2 linked regions of the Rattus norvegicus genome follow. The protein of the gene in region 1 binds, or shares a complex with, the protein of each later gene. Links are inferred from orthologs where the notes say so. Each region holds a gene or a part of one and is shown on either strand. Other genes may lie near its edges.

Region 1 (3,819 bases):
TATGCACTAATACAATTATACTTTGTAACTCCCATCTGGCTTGAAACTTACTATGTAGAACAGGTTAGCTTCAAACTCATGGAGATCTCCTTGGCTTCTCTCTCCTCAGTGCTGGGATTAAAGGCCTACACCCTCATACCCAGCATCATAATATTCTCCCTCTCCCTCTTCCTTTCCATATATATGTATTTCTGTCTTCAGACACAACAGAACAGGAAATCAGATCCCATTACAGATGGTTGTGAGCCACCATGTGGTTGCTGGGAATTGAACTCAGGACCTCTGGAAGGGCAGTCAGTGTTCTTAACCACTGGGCCATTTCTCCAGCCTCAAATCATAGTTTTTTTTTAAATAAATTATTAAAATGTTTGTATTTAGAAATTAAATTTCCTTCTCTATAGTATTCCTACAAAGTATGGTTCTGGTTTTGTTTCATACCACTGTTAGGGCCAGAGGTCCCGGCTCAGTGGTCGAGCACTCATGCCGGAGGCCCGGGTTCAGCCCCTCATATCACTGAGACACTATACTCTATCTTAGAGACTTGCTGTTTTGACTCAGTAGTATAGTTTGAGATTCATTTGTGTTGTAATAACTGGTGTAGTTCATTTTTAGCATCCCACTATATGAATGTGCTATAGTTTTTCTGTTTTCTTGTTAATGAATATTTAAGGTAGGTATTTCATCTTTTTCTCACAACAAACAATGCTGCTGTTAAAGGCATTTAATAAAATAGGTGTGGTGATACTTGCTTTTGTAATCCCAATATGTGCAAAGCCTGAGGTAGGAGGATGGCACATGGAACTGTGTGTGGAGAGGTCAGTTGTACTAGCCTGGATGGCATAGTGAGGTCTGTCCAAAACAAAAACAGACAGGTGATGGTGTGTCCCTTTAATTCCAGCACTCAATGCAGGCGGAGCTCTGACTTTGAGGCCAGTCTGTTCTACATAGGGAGTTCCAGGTCAGCCAGGGCTATGCAGTGAGAACTTGTCTTAATATCAACACCCACCCTACACCCCCCACCCCCGCAATAAAAGAAAACAAAGAAACAACAGTAACAACAAAACCCAGAACATTATAGTACAAGCCTTCTGGAATGAAGACTTGTGGATTGTTGTTGTTGTTCAGAGTATATGCCTAGTCATGAATGGTATTACTGTGTTGGGGAATTCAGAGCTTTTGTTGTTGTTTTCTGTTTTGCTTTTTGAGACAGGATTTCTTTGTAGCTGTGGTTATTTTACAACAAGCTCATAAACCAGGCTGGCCTGCTTCTGCCTCCCTAGCCCAGGTATTAAAGGCCTGTGCAGCCCTCACTACCACCCACCACCCAGCAGAATTCAGGACTTTTGTTATTTGTGGATGACTTTTGTTTGAAGAGGCAGGCTAAATTCTGAGGCAGGAGGACAGAGCAGGAAGACTGCTAAGGTTTGAGTGAAGCTTCTGTGTCACTGTTCCAAAGTGTCAGTATTGACCTAAAGTATACACACCTCTCTGAACAGAGCAAAGCCCTGTTATTAAACTACCTGCTTCCCCTGTGGTTTTGTTTGTTTGCTTTTACTGTTATAGTTAGGTTCTTTAGCAACTAGATAATAGGTTCACTATGTTGACTCCTGGATATGTTATGTGGACTGGTAGTTTGAGATAAATGAGCCTTTTTGGAATTAATTGTAACTATTTGCTGAATATCAATTGTAAATGTTAGAAAAAATGTTTCCAAGTAAAATTTTTGAGAGCATATTAAATCTGTTACACCTGAAACTTTTTAATTCTTACTAATCCTTTTGTATATTCAAATAGTAATATTTATATTCGGAAATTGGATTACCTACTTCTTTTCAGTCATAGATAAAAATTTGAGTGCCCGATTTTATTTTATAAGGCCATTTTAAGGTCATCGAGTTAGAAATAAAGAAATGCTTAAAAACTTGAGATTTGGTTTAAGTGTGAGTCTCAACATCAGATCACGTATAAAGCCCGAGTGACCTGCCACCCTCCTATTACAGAGCGACATTCCTACCGCCCAGAGGAAGCGGTTTACCAGAGTGGAAATGGCCAGAGTTCTCATGGAGAGAAACCAGTACAAAGAGAGGCTGATGGAGCTTCAAGAAGCTGTGCGATGGACAGAGATGATCCGGTGTGTATGAGAAGTGCTCCGATGTTTCTTGCTGTTTCATTGGATGCATGTGTTTCTTCATTGCCAACCAATCCCTGACTGAGGGTTCATGCCATTTCCTTATTCAATAGGAGAAACTTTCGGTTAACGTTTCTAACATTAATAACAGAACGAGACCAGAGATGTCCCAAAGCCTAGGTGTCTTTTGAGATAGTACATGACCTTAGAGGATAATCTCATAACTTGTAAGAGATAGTTGTTGTTACTTAAGAATAATGGTCATTTAAAAAAAAAAAAAAAAGGAAATAATATTCTCTCCCAGTGTCGATTTCACATGCAGTATATGGAAAATATATTTAGTATTTTCCTATTAAATATACTTATTTGACTGCCCCCTCTTTCTCTTCATGCACAATATATTTTTCCTTTGGTGTCTTTCTGTCAATTAGACGTTTGTTTTTATCATTAATATGTTGTAATGGTTCCTGTTGGTGGAGTTAAGTGCCAGCCAGTGTGTGCGTACCATGCTGTGTAACCAGACCCAACCTTCCGTTATTCACTCTCCAGACCTGCTAGCCTCTAATCATCACTCTTTGCAATCAAGCTGACTTCTTTGTAAACTCTCCCTTTTTTAAAACTCAATTAAAATATTAATTTTATTAACAGAACTTATGATCCATTTTCTATGTTGTATATGTTTTACAACTGCAAAAGACAGAGAATGTTTATTTCATAACATTACTTGATATTGATGAAATTTTGTACTTTATTTCCCAAAATTTTATCTTGAAGTTTATAACTAAGACTGTTTCTGTACTATCTATCCACTCCCTACCTCTAAGTACCTTCCTTGACAAATAAGATTTAGTGCACTCAACAGGGGATGTAAACTGTCAAAAAGTAATCATTTAGACTCATGTATCAGCAGCCATTTCTATATTTTATTGTAGCATGCCTGATTCCTAGAATGTCACAATATCCTTTCTTATTAATCCAGTGCCATGTGGGTTAAAAGAAATATTAATTTTAGCAAGGCTTGCTTTTGCTATATTCTCATGTTCACATCTTTTTTTTCCATATAAAACTGTACCAATTCCTACAACATTCCAATAGCTTACAGATCCAAGGCCACAAGACTGGCCCTCCATCACAAACAGCTTGAGAGGACACATAGTTGTCCTTTATGGCTCTTAAATCTCACAGACTGCTGCCATCTAGTGGTCATGATCTCAGTAGACATTCCCTCCTTGCACTCAAAAACAGCTATAGAAAAGTTTGTCAGCTGACTTTCCATTAATTTACTCATATTCTTGAGTTTGAATTATCACATCAGATTTATACATTGTTTTCAAGTTTGTAAACCTAACCTTGAACCCTCCTCATACAAACATCATTTTTAGCACCACTTACTTAGTAAGTTGCCACCAGAGCAGTATAGTTGCAAGATGTTCAGTGAAAGTTTAGAGCGCAGATAAAAGAAACCTTAAAGTAAGAATAGGAATTTGTAAGAAGTATTTTAAAGAGGGAGCTAGAGTATATCTTTAATTTTTTTCTTTGCTTTTTGTTTGTTTGTTTGTTTGTTTGTTTGTTTGTTGAGAGAAGATCTTGTTCCAAACTGGCCCCAAACTTACAGTCCTTCCACCTCAGTCCTGAGTGCTGGGATTAGAGTTTTGTGCCATTACACCCGCCGTGAATGCTTTTGTGCTGTT
Region 2 (3,448 bases), on another chromosome or scaffold:
CCTAGCTAGAATTATGGCGACCCTCTGCCATAATTGGGATAGATGTGAGTCATATCTGGCTGATGACTTCAATTTTTTTATCAATTATAAAATAAAAAGTATATTATCATATGCTGTCGTAGTAACTTCCTTGAACTTTTCAGTTTTTTTCCTTCGTGTTTATTTTTGCCCTTATTTACATTTAAAATTTCACTTTACTTTAACCTTACTTAACACTAGTCACTTAATACAAAAATGTTTTCTCAGCCAGCAAGAAGGTAGTACGTAAAAGTGCTGGCCGCCAAGCTTGATGACTTGAGTTTGATACCTTAGACCCATATGAGGAACTGGCTCTGGCAAGTTGTCTTCTGACCTCTCTGTGCACACGCACACTAAATGAAAAAAGTATTTGAAAATAAAAACAAAACTCAAATAGTTTCCTTATGGTGCGTGGAGATCTGAAGTCAATTTGAGGGAGTTGGTTCTCTCCTTCCACCATACGGGTTCTGGGGACTGAACACGGGTCCGCCCTCTCGGCGGCAGGCTTCACGCACACAGCCATCTCGTCGGTCCTGAAAGTCTATTTCCTAAGAAGTGCGGGTGGTTCAGACTTACAAAGAGGACAAGTTTAAACTTTCACAGGCAGGGCTTAGGGGCAAACCCAACACGAGTAAAAGTGCGGGCGACTTTGGCGGATTCTATGGAACACTGGCCTCCCACGTGTCTTTCAGGAAACAGAAGGAAGTCGGGAGGCGTCGGAGTAAAAAGGAGACCCGGGTGCGGAAGGCTGGGGCGAGCGGGAGGAACTTTGCGCAGGGTGTCCGGGAGCAAACCTGGGAAGCCTGGGTGGGGGCGTTGAACACCCAGTGGATTTTTGCCCCGCCTTCCAGTGGCGGAGAAGGGAAAACAGCGGAGACCCTGGGAGAGCGACAGGTGGGCGTACGGCCAGCCCCGCTCCAGCAGGTTCCGCAAGGCGTCCGCGTGAGCCCCCCGAGCCGCCGTAGCCCCACCCCCGGCGCGTGGCGCTCGTGACGCTAGGCGCGCGGGCCACTCTCCTTTCAGAGGTCGCGCTCTTCCGAACGGTCGGGCTGAGGTGCGCGTGCGCAGTCGGGAGGGGAAGTGAGGCGGTTTCCTCGGCGCCTTTTCCGGCAGCGGCGGCAGCAGAACTGGGGAGGAGGAGGTGGAGGCCGGAGGGAACCCGCGCTTGGGGCGGCGGCTGGAGGTAATCTCAAGGGCCGAGCCCGAAAGGCGGGCCGGGTCGGTCTCAGCACCGTCGGAGTCCCGGCGGTAACTCCCTTCTCCCTCTCTGTGTCTCTGCAGGTAGCACCGAGTTCCCGCGAGGATCCATGACCTGACGGGGCGCAGAGCCGCGCTCTTCGTCGGGTGACCAGGGTTGGTGCGGAGCCCGGTGCTCGCAGGCCGGCGGGAGGGCCGCAGTTTGACCTGCCGCGTGCTGAGGCGGCGGAGGAGCTGTCGGCGGCGCTCGCGCGGCGCCTGCGGGGGGAAGGGCAGTTCCGGGCCGGCCGCGCCTCGCCTCAGCAGGGCGGCGGCTCTCCCGGCGCAGACGCAGGGCCCCGGCGGCGGGCGATGCCCGAGTGAGCGCAGGCCGGGCCCCTGCCCCTAGCAGGCAGCTTCGCGCAAGCCGGGCCGCAGGGCGTCCTCGCGGCGGGGCGGCTACTTTTCGGGCTCGCAGCGGCGGCGGCGTTGTAGGCTGAGGGGACCCGGGACACCTGAATGCCCCCGGCCCCGGCTCTTCCGACGCGATGGGGAAGGTGCTATCCAAGATCTTCGGGAACAAGGAAATGCGGATCCTCATGCTGGGCCTGGACGCAGCCGGCAAGACAACGATCCTGTACAAGTTGAAGCTGGGCCAGTCTGTGACCACCATTCCCACGGTGGGTTTCAACGTGGAGACGGTGACTTACAAAAACGTCAAGTTCAACGTGTGGGATGTGGGCGGCCAGGACAAGATCCGGCCGCTCTGGCGGCATTACTACACCGGGACCCAGGGTCTGATCTTCGTGGTAGACTGCGCCGACCGCGACCGCATCGATGAGGCCCGCCAGGAGCTGCACCGCATTATCAATGACCGGGAGATGAGGGACGCCATAATCCTCATCTTCGCCAACAAGCAGGACCTGCCTGATGCCATGAAACCCCATGAGATCCAGGAGAAACTGGGCCTGACCCGGATTCGGGACAGGAACTGGTATGTGCAGCCCTCCTGTGCCACCTCCGGGGACGGACTCTATGAGGGGCTCACATGGTTAACCTCTAACTACAAATCCTAATGAGCGCCCTCCACCCAGCCCCCGGAAGGAGAGAAATCAAAAACCCATTCATAGGATTATCGCCACCATCATCACCTCTTTCAATTGCCACTCTCTTTTTTGAAACTGAACTCGAGTTACTGTTCTACCGTTTAGTGGGGTTGGGGGTTTTCTTTGTTCCCCTTACCCCCCCTCTTCTATTTCCTTTCGGCTTTGCGTTAGGATGCTCTGATCTGACATTTGACACGAATACAGTGCTATATGCTCTTGTGACTTCCAGCAAACGGGGTGGGGTAATAGCAACTCTTGGTAAAGTCCTTTATAATAATGGTTTTGATTTTTTTTTTTTATTTCGAGAGAATCTCCCCCCATGTATGCCTTTTTCCTTTTTGCCCAGTTTCTTATCACTTGCTGTAGATGGCTTATTTTGCATTCATGCAGACTATGTTCCAAGTCTGTTTCATCTAGTAAACTGAAAATTATTGCTTAATCAAACTGCCGTTTGTCTTTTATATTTAAGGCCTTCCCTCCCTTCCTTGTTAGCTCTAACTTTAGCAGTTTCAAATGTGACCTTTTATAGCCAAGACCAGTATGGTGAACTTAGCCCATAGTGGCAAAATGAGTAATACCAGTGTAATGTTCAGTTGCACACCAGTGTGTCAGATAGGTAATGTAAGGAATCCCTTGAAGTCAGCCATTAACGTGCATGAGTAGGAGTAAGGCTCAAGTCCCCTTTGCCATAGCTAACTTTACCGACTAAAACAAGCAGAGCCTGTAAAGGGTACAGGTCCTTCTCCCTGCAAAGTTAGCAACTTTGCTGATTCCCTCTTATGGATAAAAATGCTCTTTCCAGAAAGTGGAGCAATAATGGTGTATGCCACACAGATGAAGTATTTGTAGATACTTTAAAGTGACTTTTGGGCAAAACTGGAACTGTCTTAAGACCAGTAGTTTTAAAATTACTAAACATTTACTTGGCTCACTAATAAAATATTTAAAAAGCCAAATTACATGCACCTTTAACCTAGCTGGAAAAAAAAACCCAACACATTCCTGTTTTCACATTACAGCAACTGATTAGACTGAAGATACGAGACTTTTTTAATAGATGAGTGATTTACATCTCCATTAAGACACTGGAAAAGATGTTTTATTTTAAAAAGGTATTTAGTTTTGCTTGATTGTAGGTTTATTCATGC

Evidence for each region.
Region 2: the proteins of Spag9 (region 1) and Arf6 are in contact, whole or in part, in a crystal structure (PDB 2W83), measured with the Homo sapiens proteins. The link is inferred for Rattus norvegicus from reciprocal best matches to the Homo sapiens genes SPAG9 and ARF6. Residues at the interface, in NP_001124000.1 of Homo sapiens: Lys431, Asn432, Ile435, Val438, Asp439, Thr442, Cys443, Asp446, Val447, Gln449; in NP_001654.1 of Homo sapiens: Glu13, Arg15, Lys34, Phe47, Val49, Glu50, Thr51, Thr53, Lys58, Asn60, Trp62, His76, Tyr77, Thr79.

The regions. Positions count from the first base shown.
Region 1 is NC_086028.1:79,534,311-79,538,129, forward strand, and holds part of Spag9 (C-Jun-amino-terminal kinase-interacting protein 4), read left to right. Parts: intron 1-2,000; coding exon 2,001-2,131; intron 2,132-3,819. UniProt on the Homo sapiens protein: The JNK-interacting protein (JIP) group of scaffold proteins selectively mediates JNK signaling by aggregating specific components of the MAPK cascade to form a functional JNK signaling module.
Region 2 is NC_086024.1:93,588,187-93,591,634, forward strand, and holds Arf6 (ADP-ribosylation factor 6), read left to right. Parts: upstream 1-1,590; 5' UTR 1,591-1,742; coding exon 1,743-2,270; 3' UTR 2,271-2,739; downstream 2,740-3,448. UniProt on the Homo sapiens protein: GTP-binding protein involved in protein trafficking that regulates endocytic recycling and cytoskeleton remodeling. GTP-bound form plays an important role in the transport of multiple palmitoylated proteins form the Golgi to the plasma membrane.